Linked DNA regions of Arabidopsis thaliana. The protein of the gene in region 3 interacts with the protein of the main gene of each other region in a pairwise test. Each region holds a gene or a part of one and is shown on either strand. Other genes may lie near its edges.

Region 1 (6,863 bases), on a different chromosome or scaffold from region 3:
CTCGGACTCTGACTAGGGTGATAGGTTTGGTTTATAAATAAAGCATACGGAGGCTCTTGTCTTCAATCTATAACATTGAGAGATTCAGAGACAAGTATGGAAGAATTGTTACCACACGATGTGATAGAGTATCATATAATGGTGAGGCTTGATGTGAAAACCCTCCTCAAGTTCAAGTCTGTATCGAAGCAATGGATGTCTACAATCCAATCCCCTAGTTTCCAAGAAAGACAGTTGATCCACCATCTTAGCCAATCATCAGGAGATCCACATGTGCTTTTGGTGTCCTTATATGATCCTTGTGCTCGTCAACAAGATCCAAGCATAAGCAGCTTTGAAGCTCTGAGAACTTTTTTGGTGGAGTCATCTGCAGCTTCTGTTCAGATCCCTACTCCTTGGGAGGACAAGTTGTACTTCGTTTGCAATACTAGCTGTGATGGTCTGATATGCCTCTTTAGTTTCTATGAACTGCCGAGTATTGTCGTCAATCCCACCACTCGATGGCATCGAACTTTCCCTAAATGCAACTATCAACTAGTCGCTGCCGACAAGGGTGAGAGACACGAGTGCTTTAAAGTCGCATGCCCTACTCCTGGATTTGGCAAAGACAAAATCAGTGGCACTTACAAGCCAGTTTGGTTATATAATTCCGCTGAGTTAGACCTAAATGACAAGCCTACTACTTGTGAAGTTTTCGATTTTGCCACCAACGCTTGGAGGTACGTTTTCCCCGCGTCCCCTCATCTGATTCTTCACACCCAAGATCCTGTTTATGTAGACGGGTCACTTCACTGGTTCACTGCCTTGTCACACGAGGGCGAAACCATGGTTTTGTCTTTGGATCTTCACTCCGAAACGTTCCAAGTCATCTCTAAAGCTCCCTTTCTCAATGTCTCTGATGAATATTATATCGTCATGTGCAACCTCGGTGATCGTTTGTGCGTATCCGAGCAAAAGTGGCCCAACCAAGTCATATGGTCGTTGGATGATTCAGACCACAAGACATGGAAGCAAATATATTCCATAGACCTCATTATCACCTCTTCTTTGTTCTTTAGTGCCATATTCGCATTCACCCCACTAGCAGTTTTGGACAAGGACAAGTTATTGTTTTATGATAGTACACACGGGGATGCATTCCTAACACATGATCCAGATACCAAATCTTATGATTTGCCTTACACATCTAATCGCTGTGCAACTGTTGTTTGTTATTTCCCGAGTTTAATTTCTATTTTGTAGACTTGAATGATTGGTTATTTGTCCAAGCATTCTTTTTTGGTCGTTATTTGTCCAAGCATTCTAGTTTCTGATTAGTTTACTCACTGGGTTATGAATTACTATGTTTTATCAATATCAACATCACATTACAAATTTTCATAAATTTAATGTTTTGATTATACCATACATCAAAAGTACTAATGACGAGAAGAAAAAACATTATTCTTTTTTTTACTCTGTAATCATCGATTCTCCAAACCGAAAAGATAACAAATACTATAAGGAATAAGGGATTTGATTATACCATACATCATTGATTAGTAAAGGTTAGCTTCTGACTAAGGGATTTTTTGCGGAAACATAATAGCTTCTTACAAAGGCTTCTCTACGTAACATCAATCTTCTTGTTGGTATACTTATTTAGCCCCCTTTGGATGAAAGAAAGTACTAACAAAGATATAAACTGAAAGTAATATCGACCAAATATAATCATAATCTAAAGAAACAAAAGCTTATAATCTCATCCGTACATGACAGATTCAAAATTAAGTTCAGGTGCGAGCAAAGTCATATTCATATATAAAGCTCGAAATGGAGGGACGACCTCGGCATCATCTCTGTCATAGTTCTTCTTATTCCGGTACGGTTTCTATTGGTAAGGCATGTACCGCATTGGCCTTCTGAACCTAGGAGCCTTCCTGCACGAGGCATTGCCGAGTCTCGTGAGACGAAGAAGAGAAAGCCATTTGTGATAAACTGATGGTAAATATGCAGAGTTTAAACTTACCCGTATCCATATGGGGAATAAAAATACGGAGGCACAAAGGGTCTGCGAAAGCGGTATCCCATTGAAGGGTTGAAACGCCCAGGATGATACTGTTTCATTCCAGGAACATTGGTTCGCTTAGGCGAGACCTGAAATGAAAACCAAAAGAGAAGAGTTGAGATCAATGAACTGTCCATTTCCTTCAGTATTGGTCTTAGTACGAGAAGATACCTTCAGTTGACGACCATGAAGCTCTGATTCATTCAGCTGCAGAGCTTCTTGCACGGCTTCCACTTCTACAAACTCCACATAAGCAAATCCCTTTGGCTGTCCAAACTTGTCCATTAGAATGGTTACCCGGTTGACTGTTCCGCATGTTTGGAAATGTAGTTGCACTTCTTCAGGTGTACAGGCATAGTCGACCTGCAGGGTGGATAATGAGGTCTTAGTACAACACAAGCATTCTTATTACAACTAAAACCATGACTTACTGAGAACGTAACAGATAGATAAGTTAACCACCCCACTAAGGGAAGCCAAGAGACAAACTTGTGTGTTCTAAAGCAATTTTCCATGTCTAACATTAGACCTAAGTTATGTATGGTACATAAACGCTATGAAAGTCTTCATTTTATGAGCGTGAGTTCAAAAATACATGATAAAAGGCCAGCATCAAACTGCAGCCTCTCGCGAAATCCGCAAACAACCAAACCTGTATTAGCTCCAAGTATCCTCCCTGCGGAGCTTTGGGTCTTGTTTAGAAAGCATCCAGCATCTTGGCATCTTGATCCAGCTCTTCAGAGTTCAGAGACCATCTCCTCAAGGATAACAGAAACCTTGCTTTCTAATCCCACCCAACTCACTCAGACTCCCTTTTTCCTCTCAAGAAATCCTTCTTTTTTTTTTCAAGCTCATGCAATATTTTTCTCCACATTTTTCTGCTATATCTTTTTTTTTTTTTTTCAAATTTTTTTCCTTCTCTTTTCTTTTTACTTTCAACATTTTTTTTATAGCTTTTTTATCATCAAATTGCACGGGAAGAATGATTTTAACACTACAACAAGGAAACTAGCAAAACAGTCACAAAACTTAGTTGAGAACCCAGAGCTATTAAGAACTTCATTTATGAGAACAACCCTGCGATTATATAGGACATAGAGGTCAAACTCTTCAACTAGAAACAATAAAGAACCTACTTCACAACATTAAATTTAGAGAAAGCCTCTTGATACAGATTCTAACAGTAATCTCAAGGGATAAAGAACAAAGCTAAGACACAATTGCAAGCAGTTCTTTTATCAAAGATGAAATTTAAGTTAACAAAATAGTCAGCCTAAGCTAATCCACACTAAGATTGGCAAACAGATCAAAGCCGTTTAGATGAAACAATGATTCAAGCACAGAAGAGATACCATGAAGTAGAAAATAAGCTATCTTACATTGCCAACATAAACTGATCGAGCATCCACCTCCTCCTTTCCTTCTTGATTTGCAGCCATACTAGCAGGATCTGAAACAAATTGTTAAGCAAGAAACAGAAGTTCAATTTCCTAAAAGTAATCTACACAATCAACAGATTCCTCCTAGTATATCAAATTCAAAGATAGTCTCGAGCAAACGAATTCAAAAAAAAAACGAAAGAGTCACAAAACCTTGAGTAGCTCCCATTTCTTTTTCGACTTTTGCTTGCATCTCTCGTAGCGCAGCAGCTTCTTCCTCCATCTCCTTTAATCTCCTCTTCATCTCAGCAAGCTCCTGATTCCATGAAATCAAAACACCAAAAATCAAACAGATGTATACACACGATATACAACAAAATCAAAATCGAACGAAGCAGAAGTAGACCGTAACGGCGTCCTCATCGGCTGCAGACATATCGATATCCGGATCGGGAACATCCGTATCGCCGACTTCAGGGATTTCTCCACCGTAAACCTCGTGCTCTTCTTCCTCCATTTTTGTTTCCACTCTTCGGAGCTCAAGCAAACGAATAAAGCTTCGCTTTGGTGAATGAAAACGACTTGCACACTTTTCCTACCGATCCAGATAGGTCGATTGCAAACAACGACGTCGTCTCGTATTGGGCCTCGGTTACAAACTTACAAGAGCCCATTATCATAACACTCTAACTGAATCTGAAGGTTTTGATTTTTCTTCAAAATTCAATTCGGCCCATCATAGGCCCCAAACATTATGGAAGAAACAGGCTTGTGAATAATTTATCAAATTATATCATGGATCAAATTAAATTTATGGACCAAATTAAGAGGTCTGTGAAATAATACTGCATAATATGGATCAGATTAATTTATATCAGAGACAAATTATCCACAAAAATATGATACAGTTTGATCCAAATTATTCCAAAGGTATTGATAAGAATGACTTTTCCCCAAAACATATCTACAGCCATTTGTTAAATAAATAAATTTTAATTGCAGTTAAGCAAAGTTCTTCGTCTTCTTCCAACCTTTTTAGTTTTTTACTTACCACTGTTGTAAAACAGAGGATTTCGGCGAAGATGGCATAAGGAGACAGTAGAAGCGATTCTCCGACTCCATAGTCTCCGATCAACACCAGCTTGAAGAAAGGAGTCAGTCTTCAGCGACGGGTCTCCATATTAAAAGAGTTTAATCGAGATTGAGTTTTGGTTCAAAACATTACACTTTTTGGAAAAAACACTTTAAAGGTAGGTCATCAGTTTATCTAATAATGAAGACATCTGGTCATTTACTATCAACAAACGGGCATATAAATAAGAACTAAATATAACAAACGTACTACTAAGAGGTTCAAAACTTTGATATAATAAAAGGCTTGAAAAGTTGACACAAAACAGAAACCAAAAATAGTGTTCAAAATGGCGTTCTCATGTCTGTGGAGCAACTTAAATACGACCAGAAACAAACTAGAGAGAAAGAAATTTCTTAATCTTGAGGCAGTTTAAGCAGCAACGGGTTTAGCAGGAGCAGAAGAGAGTCTAGACCTCTTCTTGGCCAAACTTTCACTACGGCGATCACGCTGCTCCTTTAGTCTGGAGGCAAGAAGCTTCTGGTAATCAGCTGCATCAGAGTTAGCCTTGGCGATTCTCTTCTTCTTGTCAGCAATTCTAGCTCTCTTCCTCTGGAGGGTCAATGGAGTCACAAGCCTCTGGATCTTAGGAGCCTTGCTAACCTTCTTGCCTGCACATGGAAGCCTCATATATTAGTAAATCATCAATCGTATAAACAGTTTTCAATTATCTCTTTAAGTGAATCTAATTTTCTTACCCTTCTTGTTTGTGAAGGTACGGCGGTAAGTGTTAACGTACTTCCTCACATCATCCTCTTTTCCAAGGTTAAACAACTTGCGGATCTTTGATGCCCTCTTGGGACCTCTCATTCTTGGCTTCTCAGTGTCGGTAAGCCCGGGAAGATCACTTACACCCTTCTTCACAATGACCAAGTTAAGAACAGACAGGTCAGGGCTCACAATGCAACCACGGACAGACTTTCGTCTCCTCTCTCCAGTCCTCCTTCCGTGTCCTCTAAAACAAGGAGTACCTAAACACAATAACCAGATCACATAAATAAAAAACACAGAAGATTAATGAAAAAAAGAGAAGCTGTATAATTTTATCAATGGGGTGGAATCTAGTACCTCGGTGAAGCAAAAGACGGACACGCCCTGGAGTGAGAACTCCTTGTTTCATTGGGAAACCTTGCTTGTCACATCCTCCCATGATCTTGAATACGTATCCCTTGAATTCCTGCAAATAGCTCAAAACACACACAATTCTGTTAAGTATACTGAACTCACAAGACATCAGAAAAAAACACTGAACCAGGAGAAAAAATTTCACCTCGCCTAGAGCATCTCCGCTAACTTCCTGAGAGAGCCTCTTGTCGAAAAAGGCGCGGCTGCATCAAAACAACAGAAATGAAACTCAATATCTTTACCAAAATCGACAATGTTGATTTTCAGATTCAGAACTGGTTATATATCAGACCAACGCAGTAAACATCATAGATTCCAGTAATGCATCAGCTATAAACAGATCCTAGCAGTGTGAAATAGTAACTATCCTACGATTCAAAGGTTTGGATTCAAAGAATTTTACGAACTTCATAGCAGATTGTTCACACTCTACACTCAATAAGCCAAATGTAAACAAATCCATGAAGAAAATGTGATTTAAAGCAAAGATCTTACAGTTTTTGATCGTCATCGATCTCGAGTTTCTTTTGACACCCGGTGGTCGGATTGGCGACGTTGAACTGCGACACAAACCAAAATCGATTGAATCAAACGAAATAACAAAGAGATAAACGAGAACAGAATTGATGAGAAGAAAAAGATGGAGCCACCTTCATCGTCTCCGATAGACACTGCTGCTACAACAGCCTGCGTAAGATGATTGAAGATATAAAATGCTCTCGACGCGGCTCAGCTTTTAGGGTTTTGCGAGAAAGTTGAGAGAAGCAACTTATAGGAGAACCAATAGGTAGGTTTAATTGAATTGGGCCTACATTTTATGGGCCCATAATTAAATTTGGGCAATTGACAAAAAATTGTTAAAAAAAAGTTATGGACAACAATTCTAAATTTTTATAAATAGTACTATAAATTTCATTTAAACTTAATTAAAATATAAGATAGAAAATAAAAATGAGAGCAAACATTTATCTAATATTAAATTAAATCAGAATAATTTTTAAATAGTAGAAAATATATTTTAAATTAGAATTAGAGAACTCAAATATAATACTACAAACTAATATTAAAATAAAAAATCTTAATAAATGAAATCCAATTTCTAGTGAAAAAAAAAGTTAAATAAAATTTAGTAGGATATTAATATTGATTGATATAACTCTGTCTCCTCTCAAAGGGGCCA
Region 2 (8,131 bases), on a different chromosome or scaffold from region 3:
CTCATAACCATACTACTCTCAGTTCCGAGATAACTTATGTAAAGCTAACAAAGTACAAAAACTAGTAAACGACTAACCTCATGAGATGCCTATGGACATCAAACATAACAATGAGGACATCAAACAGGTCAACAGAAGTCCAAGCATTTTGCACACGAGCCTTGATGTCTTTGTAACCATATCCGCTTTTCTTCAGCATCAGACCCGGAGTATCGAAGAAACACTGCAAGGTTCACAAATATCAAAAATTCAATCTACGAATGGCTGATCTCCACAACTAACCATAACGAGTAGTTTACATATGCAACAGATATATAAGAGAAAACTTACGACTTGTGTATCTCCTTTTGTCAATACTCCTAACACTTCATGTGTCGTCGTGTTAGTCTTCCGTGAAGCAGCAGCAACCTTTGTTCCAACCTACACTTGGACATAACGAAACACTAAGCATAACTCTCATCAAGATGCAATAAACAAAGATACACAATCACTTCAAAAATTGCAACTTTAGGACTAATCAAGAGTCATAGCAGCACTACATAAACATATACACAATGTCTCAATTGATTCTCAGAGACCAAATCACAGGAATGTGAAATTAAGGAAATGAGCCAACCATGAAATTAGTCAGCGAAGATTTTCCTGCATTAGGTGGACCGATGATGCCGACATTAAGCGACTTCTGATCTTCTTCTCTAACTTCACCTTCACCAAGTTCTTCATCTGGTGACTCTAACGCAGCCTCTAAGAGAGCCTTAGCGAGAATCCTTGACCTATCAACACTATCCTCATCATCTTCAGAACTCTCTTCTTCTGCAACTTTCACTTTACCTTTCTCTGTCAAGTTTCCAAAGAAGGCTTTGTTTACTCTTTCTCTGTACCCTTTATCCCAAGTTGCTTCCTTGGGCTTCTTCACGGAATCTACATTGGAATCGTCGATTGGGTATTGACTACTATCGAAAACAGAGTCGCTGCTTGATCCGTCTTCATTGATGGAAGTGGGTTCGTCTAGATTCGGCTGCGCTGAGTAAAATCGGCGGAGAAAGTTTTGTGCTTGATGGGGATTACGAGGTGTTGTCTTCGTCGTCGTTCGTGAGATGGAAATTAGTATACGTAGAGATCTAAAAGCTTTCATTTTTGTAACAATGGCGAAGTAGCGATCTCGGAGAAGTACAGATTTGAACGAAATGTAACAGAAGAGGCTTCCGAGGGTTTTAGAGGTTTTGATGTTTTGGGGAAGTGGTGACAAAGTAACTCAATATTACAGATAGGCCCCTCACTTTTTGACAAATCCAACGTAGTCCCTAACTTTGTATTCGATATAATTACTACTAGCAAAGTAGCAATACAACAAAAATTCATACTAATCGTATCAATTGGAGTTTGAATATACAGTTAATGGAAGGAATATTAGTCAATTTTGTTTTGGCAAAATATTGAACAACATGGTGCAAACATTTTGGGTGAATCTGTATAATATAATACTTTGATCAATTCAGAAGAAAAGGAGACAAAGTTCTTCCTCCAAGTCTCCAACGACCAAAAAAAAAAAGGACTAAACTTCTGAGAAAAAACATCTCTGAGATCCCTAAACAATGTAATGGTAAACTAACTCACCTGGCTAAAGAATACAACAGATGGAAAGTTAATAACTTAAAATCAGATCATAAATTCAGTATCTGAACAAAAGTGAGTGAAGACTTGTTGTTGTAACAAAGCCTTCATCCATATCGCCTTTTCTTTGACGCTGGTTTGGTTTGGTGCCAAATTCTAAAACGCCATCCGCCCAGCAAGCCTACTCTCTGAGATTCGTCTGTCTATCGCTGCATTTATCGAGTTCATCTGCAAACCAAAAGAAACAAACTTGGTGTTGAGTTAAGAAGTTGGATGCTTTATTTTGAAAGAGTTAAGTGCGTATTGTTTTGGTTCCCCAAGGCAGTGAGATTGTGCAAAGGTACCAAACTTTGCAGAGTTAAGAATATAAAAAGAGCTGACCTGGGTTTGAAACCAAACCTGTAGAGTATGATCTTGTGGAACCAATCACCACATTTTTAATACAATACAATAGACAGGAAATATAATGAAAAACAAACAGATACAAACGCTATGTTTCTCACTACCTACTATTGCAAGCTACAAATGATACCTTTCGAACATTGATTCAAAATGCTCAAGTTTCTTGCCTAAGTCCTTCTTATCATATTCTAAGGGAAGAAATTATAAACTGAATAATACGGTGGTACCTCTTAGCACAGAAACAATAGGATCTGGAACAGAAATGTATAAATAAAGCCTACCGAATGGGTTAGACTTGCAAAAGCAAACTCTTCTTAACTTTAAAAAGGGTAAATCAGAACTTACCTGGCTGGTTTCATCGTGCACTTTGTATTTTGGTAAGGACATTCTTCTTTCCTCCTGCAGATACAGACACATTGCGTCAGATTGGAAAACCAAATGGTTCATTACTCGAAACTTTTCCAATTGTAACCATTCCAACATGATGCATAAGAAATTAGGAATAAACTAACCATAGACATCGCTTCATCATCCCATACAAGATAGACCTCATTAGGCTGATTGCTAGGAGCTTTGTTTGCAATTACAGGAGGTGGACCAATTGAAGGACCGCTAGTGTTTGGGCCAGAGGCATAAGAATGAGCATTAGTCCCACCTACGGCAACAAAACATGAAAAAGATATTACAATTTGATACAAAACAGCTAAACCAAATGTAAGTCAATGATTCTACGAACTTGGGATTGAACCTGGAATAGAATTGTTAGGCGGATAAGCATCTGCTGATCCTAAAGCATCTGCATGAGATGGTTGCTGAGCCCCACCAACAGGCAGAGGAGCAGAAAATGGTGGAGCTTGAGAAGGAATGCTGTTATTCACAACAGGGAACAGAGGTTGAGGAACTGGCATTGCAGGTGATGATGTAGGAATTCCAGGAGGAGTTACTCCAGTGACTGGTGATGGTTGTATGGCAGGAGCTGAGGTTGGAGTTGGAGTCATCCCCATATTTTGAACAGGAAAAAGTGGTTGTGGTCGATACCCTAAATGGGCAGCTGGAGGTACAGAAAGAGCTGGATTTTGAGGATACCATTGTTGCGGACGAGGAGGTGGCATTTGCCATACAGGAGCAGGATGACGCATAGGAGGACCCGGATAATACCTGCTAACACGAAATATTTTATCATGGTCAATAGCCATACATATTACAATATCTAAGATCATGAACTATTTCAAAAAACTGTTTACTACAGGTGTTATTGTGGTCTTGAAGAGGAGCAAAAGAATGGTTCTAGGACAAAGTTCTATCCTGAAAAATCACGAGAACAAGCTAGGGAAACTAAGAACCTTATGGGTCATAGTTGGTTAAGTGCAACAATATCTTAGATAACGATCTATTTCAAAAAATGTTTACTACGGGTGTTATAGTGGTCTTATAGAAGAACAAAAGTAGAAAAGTTCTAGGACAGAGACAAACTAAAGAAACCAAGAACCTTTTGCATCAAGAGAACTAAAAGAAAAAAAGTTCCCCATCATTTAGCATGGATCGGATTTTTAAAAACAGAGACAACATCTAAGAATTCAACAAGTAACGGCCATAGAGAGAGTATAGTATAATTAGTACATACATTGGTCGTGCAGGTACAGCACCAGGTACTTGTTGAGGCGGATATACCATTCCATATGGTCTAGGAACTACACCACCAAGAGGGGCAGAAGGAATCTCAACTTTTGCAACTTTGGCTGGAGGCTCATCCTCTGCAGAAAACATGACTTCAGTTCAAAAGGTACCATATGAAACAAGCAAACATAACAATAATATATAATAACTTTGATAAGGCAAAAAGCCGCATGCAAAATCAAAACGAATTCATGACCACTAGATGCAATAGATCTACAACACTTGATGAAGAGACATACAAATTTATCGCCTTACTTCTCTAAATCAATTGCTCATAATCTAAACAGTACTCTCACTATCTCAAATGCATACCTTCTTCTCCATAATGAGCAGTCAAGACATGGGGTGGAATTCCTTGCATTCCATATATTTCAATATCAGTTGAATCTCGACCGTCTTTAGCATTAGGAACTCTGGTGTGAAAATTGTAGATAATTTCAAAGTTAGTAGTGTCATGGAATCAAATTCCAAATTCAACAGGCAAACACATTGAACAGTACCACAAATTCCAAGAAAAACCTATCAAGCAAAAGCAAAAGCAAAAGACTGTTTCTTTACAAAAATTGCAATCAGAAATTAGGGTTTATGACCAGACATATACAAATTAACCAAACCCATTCAAGAGATAATCCAAAAAAACGATTCAAATTCCAGCAAACATACACAATCAACCGATTCAAACCACAACACAACAGTCACAATTAGCGCAATCTAACAGAAATCAAACGACAATCACACACAACAAGAGCAAAAAAAAAATCAGAACTTGAACAAAGATCATAGAGGCAACAACCCTAATATTCCAAATCAACCTAACACAACAAAAAGAGCCATAGGGAAAGGGTAAAAAGAAAAGGCACATACTTTGTAACATTCTCTTTATGAACCTGAAGAACATGAATCACCATGCCACTAGCTGTAGAAAGCTTCTTATGACAGACATGACACTTAAAGTGCTTAGCTTTCTGATGCTGCACAAGAATCTTCTCATCATCAAACTCTCTATCGCAGTAATAACACCACACCTTCTCTGTAGCTCTCTTCTTCTTCTTACCCATCACTAAATCTTTCTCCTATTTGTTGATTTCAAGATTTGATCTCAAAATTGAAATCTCCAATCTCTCAAAAGTCTCGTTCTTTGTCTCCTTCCTCCGCTCGCTAGGGTTTCTAATTGGTACAAAGCGTTTTCTCGATTTCTTCTACGATCTTCAGATTCTCTGTTTTTTATTTATTTTTACTTTATCTAATGGTTACTATCTTGTATTTATAAGAAAAGGTACTTTCTTGTGTAATATTTCGTAAAGAACCCATAACTCTTGTTTAATTATATATTTTTCCAAAATGCTTAGTAAGTTATATAATGATACTATTAGTATTGGTTATGTTATCCGTTAGGATGGTCAAGTGGTCTAAGAGCAACCTCATTAGACAACTTTTTATAGATGTTTTTAGTATAAATAAATAATAAAATTAAAGACATTTCACTTTTGTTGTGTTTAAAGTGTCTCTACAGAAACACAAATCTCAAACTAAAAACATTCATAATTTTTTTATTATTATTATTTATAGTTTTATATTTAAAGACATCTACATATAAGTGACCAATGTGGATGCTCTAAGGCCTTAGACTCAAGTTTTGGTCCTCGTAAGAGGGTGTGGGTTCAAACCCCACTTCTGACATAATTTTTTATTCTTTCAAGAGTTAATTTTCTTTGTCCAATGAAATCTCAAATTAACTTAATCTCAAATTAACTTAAAATAAACTGTGAGAAAACAGAAGAAGATTAACCAACAAAGTAAGTAATCTCTCTTACAAAGAAACTTTGACCAGAAAAAAGGAATCCATGTAACAGATAAGAAGAAGAGACTATAAGAGCTAAGAATTACATAACTATTAGAAAAGATTATAAATAGAGAAAAAAACAGAAGAAGATTAACCAAAAAAGTAACTAGTCTCTATTACAAAGAAACTTTGACCAGGAAAAAAAAAGAAGAGCAATTCCTATAACAAATAAGAAGAAGAGACGATAAGAGCTAAGAATTAGATAACTATTAGAAAAGATTATAAATAGAGGATAGCTATTCATTATTTCTTAAGTACATGAAACACTTGCAACAACAAAAAAGTTAAAGATATGGGTGCTAAATGGAATTCAATGATTATAATGGTGTTTGTGGTGACAATGGTTATAGCAATGGAAAATGTCAATGGAGAGACGAAAGCTCAATGCCATGAAGATTGCATTCTAGGTTGTGCCACCACAGGAAGAATTCCGATCACGTGCCTTCAGAATTGTTACCGTCGATGTCCCGGCAAACCTCGTCGTACATTAGGTAACCATTTTTCAGAAGGTAAAAACAAACAAACAATCTAACAATTTTGGAAATATGTCAAAGAAAATCTATTTTAATGATTATTGAGATTTTTACTAACTATATAAAATATATTCCCCTTTGTATAAATAAATTTGAAGTAAGTTTGACTAGTGTAATAATAATAATAGATTAACAATGGAATGTTCAAATGATTGAACGGTATGCTAATGTTTCGAAAATGTGGTGAAAAATAAAATAGCAACATAACGTTTTGAAATAGTAAAATTTTGAGATATATTTCGGTAATAAAGTGTTTTAAATCTTAGAAACATCATTGTCACTGTTTAGGTATACATATAGTCCTGAAAATATTATTTTTTAAATTAAACTCAAGAGATTATTTGGAAAAACTAAAGGTTAAAATAATCGATGGTTCTAATTTGTATAGTGGAAGCGCAGAAATAGAAGAGACGATGAGTCATGAATCAGTGTTGGACTCTTGGGACTTTTAAACTAGCTCTTCTTCTACTTTTGTATCCTCCTTATGTAATATGATCATTGTAAATTTGTAACGCTATTAAATAAAATAAAATAAAATTTGTCCCATGTTATAAATTTCTCTTGACTGTAAACACGTCTCTGTTTAACAGTTTAAGACTCCTCTTAGATTCGAATCTCATATTTCATAATTTTGGAAGTGACATGTAGCGGCTTATTGATTTTCTTGATTCATATTTTTTATTTTAGTTATTTCAAAGTGTGATACCTTGTGGATAAAGCAAAATCCATATGACCATATTTACATGAGACAAAAGTGAAACCATCTATGTTCAGCTTCAAGAGAAAAACACTTTGTTTCAATTTATACATTTAAAATAAAACTGCCACTACTACGTTTCTCCTATTGAAGCAAAATTGGCTCTCACTTGTTTTGCCGTTTCTCTGTGCTTAAATCCGAAGCTTTTACATTTTTCTACAACTTGTGCAATGTTTGTTTAATTGTACATTTTAGCTAATGGTTACTCTCTTGTGTTTATAAGAAAAGGTACTTTCTTGTGTAATATTTCGTAAAGAACCCAAAACTCTTGCTTAATTGTATATTTTTCCAAAATGTTTAGTAAGTTACATAATCATATTATTCCACTTCTGGTCCTCGTTAGGATGGCCGAGTAGTCTAAGACTATCTACAATGATTACCTATTTATAACACCCACTTTTTCACTTTTAACACTCCACATTATTTTCTCTCTCTTCCACATCATTATTCAACACCTACATAATTTTTAATCTTACAATAGTTTTGTTTAATAAAATTACAACACCTTACCCCACCATTTTTATTTCATATTTTAACCTATACATTATTTTTGGGTCTAAAAATGGTTTTTTCTGTATTTAAATCAAATGAAAATAGTCTCTGTTTATAGAGAATGAAAATTTATAAAATTTTATATAAATTATATATATATAAATATATATAAATATTATGAAATAATTGAAGTTATATAATTAAGATGAAACAAAAATATTAGAAATCAAAGCAACCAATCAAAATATAACACTTGTCACACTTATCTTCTCCCTTCTACTTTCACGGATGTTAAAATTTATCAACACTAAATTTGCCACATCAGCTACTTTTCAATTACAAAATACCATTATAGTGGAATTTGTTTTTTCACCAGTTGTAAAATGGTTTACAACAAACCATTGTAACTAGTCTAAGGCGCTAGAGTCAAGTTCTGGTCCTCGTAAGAGGGCGTGGGTTCAAACCCCACTTCTGACATAATTAACTTAAAATAGACATACTGTGTGAAAAAACAGAAGAAGATTAACCAACAAAATAACTAATCTCTATTACAAAGAAACTTTGACCAGAAAAAGGAATCCCTATAACACATAAGAAGAAAGACGATAAGAGTTAGGAATTACTTAATTATTAGAAAATATTATAAATAGAGAAAAAAACAGAAGAAGAGTAACCAAAAAAAGTAACTAGTCTCTATTACAAAGAAACTTTGACCAGAAAAAAAAGAAGAGCAATTCCTATAACAAATAAGAAGAAGAGACGATAAGAGCTAAGAATTAGATAACTATTAGAAAAGATTATAAATAGAGGATA
Region 3 (9,916 bases):
ATGTCACCACAATGTGGGCTCTCTTTACTATTCCCTATTTAAAAGTTTTTACTTGACAATGGAATTGGAAAGAATCAAAAGAGTTTTATATTCTGATGTACCAAGTGTCTCCTCAACCTAAATTTTTCAAACTTGAAACCCATTGGCTATCACTACACTAGATTAATTGCGAGCATCCAAAAAGAAACATCACTCACTACCATCCTTTCCTCTAACATACCAAATCCTTATTATAAAAAAAAAAGTCACTCTCTTCTTTACTTTCATTAACAAGAAGAATGGCCCATTTCCAATTTAAGTTTTAATACTTAACAGTTGACATTTATGACAAATATATCTAAATTCCCTAAAAAGAAAACAAATGGACCACCATGATCAATTTGCAAAGTTTTTTTGTGTGTTTGATGAGTCATAAGACTCATAACAAAGTAAATAACAGAACCAAATATTCAAACTAGCGGCGCACGTTAAGGAAAACAAGCATACGCAGAACCAAGACAGAACTATAGAAAACTTGTTAGAAAATATAGGCAAGTCAATGAAAGATCATTAGGAAAATAGAATCAAAACCTTTAGATTGACTATTTTATCCCTCTTTCAATGTTTGCATTTAAAATCGAATGGTGATTATTGCATAAAAGCTTGGAGCTTCACTTGCGTGCTTAAAGGATAATCTTAGATTCCTTGCTATATAATCAAGTATAGGATAAGGGAGAAATTTCTCTAAAGATTCTAGAGGATACGCCATTAATACACATTTATTATTCTGAACACCAAGAAAAAATAAACAAGCAATCAAAAATTCCACTATAGTGACAAGAACAGAACTTTCTTTAGAAAATTGTAATCTAGCACATGGAAGAGAGTAAGTAGAAACTTACAATTTGAGATTGATAATTCTATCATCGTCTTCTTCAATCTTGCTATAGTTGCAAGATGCTGAAGACAACGAAGAAGATTCTGAAGCCGTGGTGGATACCACGGGCCATATGCTAACATACGCTGTTCTGTCCCATGAATCTCCTCGTTCTCTATCACCCTTCAAAATCTTTAGAATCAAGCTGAAGTTGATGGCCAACGAGAGGACCAACATATTCCTCCAAGAAAGAAACCTCGGAATCTGTCCCATTTTCTCTCAAAACTAAAACACAAAACCAAGAAACAAGAATGCAAAATGCTTAAAGAAGAAGAGCAGAGTGGGATAGCTGGATAAAGACCTCTTTTAAAAAAAACAAAGGAAACAAACAAGTGGTGTCCAACGAGACTGATCCTTTTTTTGGCTGATATTCGAAGTTATGATTTTTGTAAGAGATTAAAATAACCCTTGAAGAATCTCAAGAGATAAAGGTATGTATAACAATGTGTTTATATTGGATTACGAACCTAACTCATGTACTTAACTCATAAATATTACCAATCACGATTTTAAGAAATTGAATTTTTAATCCTAGTAGACAAATTCTAAACTGAGACTACCTATCAAAATACCTGTAGAATTGCAGGCAGAGGATCAAAAGGTCACAGAACAAATTGGCCACAGTGAAAGGATCGCTAGAAGGCTTTTTATATGTAAACTGAAAAAGAAGAATGTGTAATTAGGTCGAAGCTCTTTGTTTGTTTCTCTCCACGATAAAAGATATTTCCCATTGGGAAAAAGTTATTGTATTTTGGCTTTGGCGTGAAGAGTTTCAGCTTTTCGGTTTGTCAATGGCAGACCTTGGAAACGACAGTACATGAACCGAGTGAGACACTGAATTTATTCAGGATCTCTGTTTACTAGTACAAGACTGGTGAATGCTTTATGTGTAACAATATTTTCTAGATTTACGTCACTTCTCTGTTTTCACATCTAATTAGATTAGCTTAAGGCTCATTATATTGACTATGTAATATTTTGCCCTATATATGTTTAGTGTAATTTACACATTTGGACAAAACGATTTAGGGTGAAATTGTTGTAATAACATATTTTGGGGTGTTGATTGTGAAAGTAACAAAGAGAAGAAAATAATCTCTGCAAGGGTAACATTAAAATAGATAAATGATCCATGGACCAAAATCTACATATTGCCACGGCCCAAATTGTTCAAGAGTTTAGCAAAGATCATATGGGCTGGATCCAAGAGGTTTATTATATTTGGTCATTGTTCAAGTATATTTGTTTTTTTGTTTTCTTTTCATACATTACTGTTTATTGAATATGATTCTATCAAAGGTGAAGTTGTATAAAATGGGGTGGGATCATCATTTGTAAGCATTCAAGTGTCTCGTTCTCTAACTTTCTTAAGTTTGTTGGCTTTCTCTCTAACTCTTAAGTATCAATTTGGAGAAAAGCACGAAAATTTAAAATATGCTAAGACTACTCGTAATAAATTAATAAAAATCAAACTATGCATTATCTAAAATCTTCTGTATATAAAATTTACACAAAATTTTAAAATTTGAAAAAAAATAAGCTAGCGTTGAGCTCAAATCCGCTCAAGATCATCCTCTAGCACCATGTACACAGTGCATGTACGAACACTTCCAACCCTCGATTACAAAACACCGGATTAATATATGATCTTTCCTTAGAATGAGTGTACTCCACAAAGAAACATGAGAGGTTTGGAAGATAAACATAAGCATTACCCAAAAAACCTTATTCATTTGATCATGCCTGCCATCGTCTTACTTCCCTAAACATGTCCTTAAAATGAAGAAGTGAACCTACCACATAATTCAATTTCTCCCCCATTTTTAACATTCGTAAAATGTAAAAGAAAGGAAACTATTTTGTTAAGTATTGTTTTTATGGCTATCCTTTTTTTTTTTTTTTTTGTCAAACTATGGCTATCTTTTAAAATGGGTAGGTAAATATATAAATGATGTTAATGAATAATACTACTCTTTTAATTTATATATATATTTTTGTTTTTTGGAGATAGGTGATCCTTTATTCGCTCTATTTTATTTTAATCGGCATTCATTTTACAATTCACAGGAAAAAAAAAAAGAGAGAGAGGAAAAGCTGAGTAAAACCGTGCAGCCCTGAACTTCGACGCTTTCTCCTCTTTCAACCAATCCGTTGAACGTCGTCGTAATAAGCTTCATCTTCATCAATCATCATCACTTTCTTCTTTCTCCCACAGATCCTTCCTTTTCTCCTTCATCTTCCCCTTCTTCCTTTTCCCTCATCGCCCAGGAACACATCCGATCTGCACCCTCTTCGTTCGATTCTCACAATTAATATCTAGGGTTTGCGAGGACCCCCCCTCTCTATTCAAAAAAAGAGAGCAGATTTTCTCTATAATCCCCTTTGGTCAGTTTCTTCTCTACCTTTTTTTCCCCTTTGTATTCCAGAGGAATCGAGTGATGAGTTTATAGAATTATCGCATTTTGAAGTAATTTGGGTCCTTTTGTAGAGCTTGATTGACATTTCTGGAGACATTTGTATGTTTCAGAGCTCTTTTTTTGTTGCTGTTGTTGTTCTAGCAAGTTGATTGCGAAATTGTCAACATTCTGGGAATACGTCAATTGTTTTTTTAGTATTGCGGTCATTTAGTCTGGAACCTCTTTTGATTCCGCAGTTTGACGATCTTTCATACTTTTAGGTTTCTGTACCAATTTGATTGTCGAACATTGTCTTTCTGTTATGATGGTGAATTTTAGAAAGTATTTCAATTCATGTTGGAGAATTTGTATAGGCAGTCTGATTCTGCAACACATTTCACGGTAGCAGTGTTATAGCAATAGTTCTTCAGTGTCGGTCTTGTTTGATTCTTTGGGATTTGAGCTTCAAATTTCATTTGTGAATCTGATTCTGTATGTGACTTACAGGTTTCAAGTGGTGTAATTGGATCGTGTAGCTGCTTTTATAATGACCTCTAGCACGACAGGAGATCGAAGGTTTCTCTTCTTTCAACTTTATCTTTGTCATGAACTTTTCTATGTTTTTATACTGGATTATGGGTTATATATTGGCCTCTTTGCACGTTACTTGCATGATTTTTCTTTTGATTTGGCCTTTTCTTCATATGAATTACTTGTTTTCGTTGTGCTGTATATTCCAACTGTTGTTAAAATATAGAATCACTATATGTGCCTGGGGTATAGAAGGAAACTCAGGGTGTGGTTTTTCTTTCTTTGAAAGAGCTTGCTTGCATGATAGACATTCACCATGTATTTGTAATAATTTTATTCAACATTATTATTGATTTGCAACATGCCAACATCACCATTTAGATTAAAAGAAGGGAAAGTTGTAAAATGTGTGTAGAAAACATATGTAAAGAGCTGATCGTTTTTTTAATAAATTGTATAATCATTTATACTTTGCTCATTTACACTTAAAGAGCTTTGTATCCTCTGTGGTGATGATGAGAAATTACATGTGCTGGATATTAGCAGATGGGGTACTACAAGAAGAAGTGGCATGACTATATTGGGAAAGGTTGCTGTTCCAAAACCGATTAACTTACCAAGCCAAAGGTATTTGATGAGCGCATGATCACATTTAGACTTCATATATATGTATAATCTCGTTCCCTGAACACTTCTCTTCTGAATTTAAGGTTAGAGAACCAAGGCCTTGACCCAAATGTAGAAATTGTTCCAAAGTAAGTTTGTACCTGTTTGAGATGCTATTTCCCTCATTCTTTTTCGTCCTCAAATTTTAGATGGTTTAATTTTCTTCTGGACATCTATTTTAGGGGAACACTTAGTTGGGGCAGTAAATCATCACTGAATGCTTGGGGGACATCATCCTTGTCACCACGAACTGAAAGTGGCCCTGGTTCACCAAGCCACCTCAGTAATCGACCTTCTTCTGGTGGAAGTGTCACTCGACCTTCAACTGCCGATAGTAACAAAGCACATGACTCTTCTTCTTCTGTTGCATGGGATTCGAACTCGCGGCCTTCATCAGCATCTGGGGTGTTTCCATCTAATCAGCCATCAGTTGCACTACAGCGTCCACATAGTGCAGACACAAGACCAGGAAGTTCCCAGTTATCCCGATTTGCTGAACCCGTGTCAGAGACTTCTGCAACATGGGGTCAACATGTGGCGCCAGAGAAGTTGGTATGGTTCTTCCCTTTAAAGTCGTCTCTAATATTTATCGGGACTCTGCTAAGCATCTTTTTTTATCCTTACATCTGTGAAGCTCCATGTCACTCTTCTCTTACTTCACTTGTGCTTAGTTACAACAAACACACAGCAAGTTCTTATGTTTTTGGGACTGTGAATGGTAATTACTTTTTGGGATTAATGATTGATATTCAATCTAGATAGAACTTTAATAGCTGGATACATCATTCGTGTTTGCTATGGGAACAAGATTAGGATGCTAAATTTGTCAAATTATAGGGCACTTATTTCTCTTAGAGAAATGCTTTGTAGTGCGTAAGATAATCTGACAACTGAGTGGCACATGGTCTCCAATAAGTCTCGAGTTCTGGTTGGGCAAATAGAATTTGATGGAAGGGTTTTTGTATTATTATTTGGCAAACTTCAATCTTCAAGGTTTTTTTTGAAGAATAGTTGTGTACAATTTACCCACCTTTGCATTATCTACCATGAAATTTATCTTCATTCTTAGACTTCTCATTGTTTTCTACAGGGAGTTGCTCCATCAAAGAATGATGGGTTTTCTTTGACTTCTGGAGATTTTCCTTCCCTTGGTGCTGAAAAGGACACTTCTGAAAAGAGTACAAGGCCACAAGGTACCATCTATTAACAGTAAAAATTATTGTGTCATCCATGCATTACAGTACTTTGATTTAAGAATAGTTCTCTTTGCTCTTTTCAAAAAGTACGATCAGCATGTAAACTAGGAAAAAAAAATTGTTTCAACTTGTACACAATTCAATCTTATACTCGTCGTCCTTGCCTTCAAGGGAGTGACGTTAGCACAGACGGGTTCATTTTGAAAGTTGGTACTTCTAAATGTAATTCTGTTGAGAAGTTTATCTACACGGATATTCAGCAAAGTTAAAACTTTCGGGAATGACCTTTTTTTTTGGCTTGCTGTTGGTTGACCACTTTTTCGATCTTAGATGACCTCCTAATATGTGCCACTGAGAATTTTAGGATTACCTAGATAGAATGTGATGTGCTTATATGAAGGAGATACGTTAGACATGGCTCTTAGAAACTACAAATTTGCAGATGCTGGACCTCACGCTCGTCCTCCATCTTCGTCTGGAAGATCTGTGGAAGGGCAAGGTGTAGATTGCACAGAAGGTTCTTACTTTCAAACCTATTTTTCTATGTTTTGGGGATATACAACAGATGTTGGCATCTCATTTCGAGAGTTACTTATGTTTATAATCATCTCTTATGAGAGGGCCATGTTACCCTCACAGGTGTTCATGTGAATTCTTCTTACTGCTTTATTCCCCGTACATCTTTTTAGTGGATGTTCTCGCGGACACTATATTTGACCATATCTTGTCTTTTATTTGCAGAAGCTAATGACCGGATTGGGGATGCCAATTCCTGGAGAAGAGAGAATCAACCATACAGTGAAGATGCACCTAGACATTGTAGAGAGGAAGGGCAATTGGACTCACGTGGTTCACAATCTTATCCTAATGCTAATTTTCCTCCTCGGTATGATGCTTGGCGTGGTCCTCCAGTAAATAATCATCAAGGAGGTGGCTGGTACGGAGGGAACCACCCGTATGGTGCCCCAATGGGTCCTGGGGGTTTTCACATGGATCCTTTTCCATTTTATCCTACGCAAGTTCCACCTGCTCCTGGACATGGGGCTGGTCCTAGGGGTAATCACGCTAATAATGAAAGAATGTTCAGACCTCCAATGCTTGACTCTTATGTCCACCCAAGGATGCAGACTAGGCCTGGGTTTTATGTTGGTCCAGCGCCACACGAAGGCTACTATGGTCCTCCCATGGGGTATGGCAGTCCCAGCAACAGAGACCTACCTTTTGCAGGTAGGCCTACTGGTCCGCATGCTTATAACAATCATTCTGGTCAAGGTGGATATGATACGCCTGGAAGTTCAGTGTCTTTGGAACGGAACGAGTCATCACATTCTCAAGAAACACAAAGGCCATACAAGGTTCTCCTAAAGCACCAAGATGGGAGGTTTGGGGAAGATAATGCAAAGCGGGAAGAATTTCTTGGAAATAGGCTCCCGAATGCAGAGAAGATAGCTCAACAGATGCAAACTTCAAGAAACGAGAGGAGAGAAATCAGAAATGACGCAAGTGGTGAAGTACAACCAGTCAAAGCAGAACTTGCTGCCCCTGGAGATCCTAGTTTGATTCAGAAAATCGAGGGCTTAAATGCAAAAACTAGAACTAATGATGGTTGGCAAAATTCGTCATCTGTTGTTAATAGAGATGAGCAGGAAAGCCAACCACGTACACTCAATTCTGGGAACTCTGCAAATAAAGTTTCAGCCAGAAATCATCGAACTGGTCATGCAAGTGACAGTAAGAACTCATCACACTATAATCAAGGTGATTCTGCCACAAACAAGAATGCTGAACCCGCAGCTATGGGTGGAACTAGCATATTCAGGTCAGTTATCATTTTTCAATTGTGTTTCGGCCAGTTATGCCATCCTTTATGTCGGGAAAGTTTTGATGTTAGTACCTACAGGAGACCTACTCAACAGACTCAAGGCAGAGCAGATCCGCAGACCAAACGAATAGTGAACAGTGAAGGCAATGATGCTTGGCAGAAGACAACTGTTATGTCAGGCTCCTCCCATACAACTTTAGCTACAAACACAGAAAGCTTTCGCGAGGTTAATGTCGATGACTCTTTGGATACCGAGTCCATCAGGAGGCCTGGGTCGGGAATATCAGCAGACCCAAAGGATAACCAGGTATAAACTAGTTCATATGATTCTGGTTGTTATTTATACTTTTATGTATCTCTTGTTTGTAGTCATCCTTTTTTGGTTTGACTGAGTGTTTGCCATGTTCCCTTAAAAGCGTTCTACGATGAGAGAGTTAGCCAGGCAGCGTGCTCAACAGAGGCAGAAAGAGGAGGAAGAAAGAGCGAGAGATCAGCGGGCTAAGGCTCTTGCAAAACTAGAAGAGTTAAATAGACGTTCCCAAATATATGAGGAGGGTTCAGTTAAGAACATGGAAGCTGCATCTAATGCTTCTCCGGCTGACATGCCAACAGATCCTGGATCTCATTCATCTAATGCTACAAATTCCGTAGAACCTACTGGAGGATCAGGAAAAAACACAACGCAAAACACGAGGACTTCAACAGAATATGCAAATAATGTGGGCCCTTCCCAACAGGATAATCTTCCACGTGATGGCGGTGCCTCAAAACAGAAGCGCTTGGGTTATAAGCAGAAGCAAAATATTATATTTGAGAAAAAACCGACAGGGAGCTCTGTTGCTACTGCAGAGGTGTTTGATGTTGTCCCGTCTCCTGAGGTTGTTAATGAAGGTGTCTCAAGCAATAACTCAGACATGCCAGCGACGTCAACCGTTTCAGCTGAGTCAACTTTCCCGAAAAGAAAAAATAACAGGAATGGTAAGAAAAAACACAAGGCTGAGGAGACAGCAACTATGAATACTACAAGAGTTGCCGTTGGAAAAGAAACAAAATCGGGAGATGAGTCAATTGAGACTGCTAGGGCAAGGGCAGCTGAAATTGAGTTGGGGTCTGTTTCAGTTCCAAGCCTGGATATCAAAGTGTCTGGTGATTCGTCTGAACAAATCAGTTCCTTCACTAATGAAGAGTCTCAAAACAGAGCTAAAAACAACTGGAAATCTCAACATGTGCGTAGGACTCAAAGAAACTCACTGGTAAATAAGCCTGCAGAGAAATTTTCTGGCAACAATGCTGTTATTTGGGCTCCAGTACATCCACAGCAAAAAGCTGATGTTTCCACTGGTGGAGGGAGTCAGACTACTGTCCCTGAGTTTGGCACCTCTTCAAAAAGTCAGCATCAAGGACAGACTAGTTCTAAAAGCAAAAGAGTGGAAATTGAAAGATATGTACCGAAGCCTATAGTAAAGGAAATGGCTGAGCAAATCGTCAGTAAAAATCTAGTAACCTCTGCTCCAGATATGTCGGAGAATGTAAACCAGAAAGAAAATCGTGGAGGTGAGGGTACAGGAATTCTCCAACCTTCTGGTTCAACTGCAGGGAAATCTGGGTCTCCTTCAAAGTCAAGACATGGGAATGGTAGGCAGGGAAAGCATGGTAGAGAACATGCATCATGGCACCAGAGAGGTTCTGGAGCACCTACTAAAGCTTTGGAGGATGGACAATTTGTAACCTCAAATCAGCCCATCCGAGGAACAGTGAACTATCACTCTAGTAAGCAAACCGAACAAATTGCTGCCAAGGATCAAACCACATGTAATAAGGATGGATGGAACGATGGCTGGTATATGACTCCTGAAACGCATTACTCTGCTGCCGAAGAAATGGAATCCAGTGCTGTTGGAAAAGATCAAGGAATGAGCATGCACGGCAGGCAGCATGCTTCAAGAAGCAACAAGGATGGAGGAAGCAACTATGGTGACCCTAAAAAAGGCAATAAGAGGGATTTCAATAAAGCTCATACGCAGCACTCTGGCCATGGGTTTAGCCAACCAGATTTGCCTGCTGCTTCAAAAGAAGGTCGTGTCCCTGGAGATCATGTGTGGCATACAGCTAATAGGACAGGTAAGTATGGTGGTCGTGAAAGTACAAGGGACAAACCTTATGGATCTCAGGAAAAAAATGTTGTTGGATACGAGCATCAAGGGTTTACTACAGAACAAAAAACGACATCAGCTGATACACAAGCCCAGTTGCAAAACCGATCTACCAATAAGGAGGTCCAGGTTGAGCAAAATCCGAATAGTATGTTCCAAAAGAACACAGGGCAGGGTCGACGGTTTGGAAGAGGGCAGGAGTCACAAGGAGGTTGGGGTTTACCGGCGCAAGAGAA

Evidence for each region.
Region 1: the proteins of MOS1 (region 3) and AT5G10350 interact in a protein complementation assay, tested with the Arabidopsis thaliana proteins (one study listed by BioGRID).
Region 2: the proteins of MOS1 (region 3) and SUF4 interact in a two-hybrid assay, tested with the Arabidopsis thaliana proteins (one study listed by BioGRID).

The regions. Positions count from the first base shown.
Region 1 is NC_003076.8:3,253,804-3,260,666, forward strand, and holds AT5G10350 (RNA-binding (RRM/RBD/RNP motifs) family protein), read right to left. Parts: upstream 4,009-6,863; 5' UTR 3,944-4,008; coding exon 3,833-3,943; intron 3,743-3,832; coding exon 3,640-3,742; intron 3,498-3,639; coding exon 3,427-3,497; exon of another isoform or gene 2,411-3,426; coding exon 2,219-2,410; intron 2,137-2,218; coding exon 2,009-2,136; coding exon of another isoform or gene 2,005-2,008; exon of another isoform or gene 1,920-2,004; coding exon 1,871-1,919; 3' UTR 1,433-1,870; downstream 1-1,432. Other genes in the region: AT5G10340 (F-box family protein), read left to right, coding at 44-1,242; EMB3010 (Ribosomal protein S6e), read right to left, coding at 4,931-5,169, 5,257-5,529, 5,627-5,735, 5,829-5,886, 6,179-6,243, 6,334-6,339. UniProt on the Arabidopsis thaliana protein: Involved in the 3'-end formation of mRNA precursors (pre-mRNA) by the addition of a poly(A) tail of 200-250 nt to the upstream cleavage product.
Region 2 is NC_003070.9:11,038,843-11,046,973, forward strand, and holds SUF4 (zinc finger (C2H2 type) family protein), read right to left. Parts: upstream 4,932-8,131; 5' UTR 4,752-4,931; coding exon 4,558-4,751; coding exon of another isoform or gene 4,554-4,557; intron 4,107-4,553; coding exon 4,006-4,106; intron 3,771-4,005; coding exon 3,641-3,770; intron 3,175-3,640; coding exon 2,765-3,174; intron 2,672-2,764; coding exon 2,529-2,671; intron 2,416-2,528; coding exon 2,218-2,415; 3' UTR 1,843-2,217; coding exon of another isoform or gene 1,771-1,842; 3' UTR 1,433-1,770; downstream 1-1,432. Other genes in the region: AT1G30960 (GTP-binding family protein), read right to left, coding at 78-223, 331-420, 617-1,135; AT1G30972 (Plant thionin family protein), read left to right, coding at 5,829-6,068. UniProt on the Arabidopsis thaliana protein: Sequence-specific DNA binding factor that recognizes the 5'-CCAAATTTTAAGTTT-3' sequence. Recruits the FRI-C complex to the FLC promoter. Required for FRI-mediated FLC activation, but has no effect on the expression of MAF1, MAF2, MAF3, MAF5, UFC and CO.
Region 3 is NC_003075.7:12,729,566-12,739,481, forward strand, and holds the start of MOS1 (modifier of snc1), read left to right. Parts: upstream 1-3,112; 5' UTR 3,113-3,237; exon of another isoform or gene 3,238-3,301; intron 3,302-3,819; 5' UTR 3,820-3,859; coding exon 3,860-3,888; intron 3,889-4,386; coding exon 4,387-4,470; intron 4,471-4,553; coding exon 4,554-4,598; intron 4,599-4,691; coding exon 4,692-5,061; intron 5,062-5,599; coding exon 5,600-5,702; intron 5,703-6,105; coding exon 6,106-6,222; intron 6,223-6,446; coding exon 6,447-7,524; intron 7,525-7,605; coding exon 7,606-7,834; intron 7,835-7,943; coding exon 7,944-9,916. Other genes in the region: TAR2 (tryptophan aminotransferase related 2), read right to left, coding at 882-1,129. UniProt on the Arabidopsis thaliana protein: Involved in the regulation of the chromatin structure and DNA methylation at the SNC1 locus. Regulates the expression of SNC1 at chromatin level.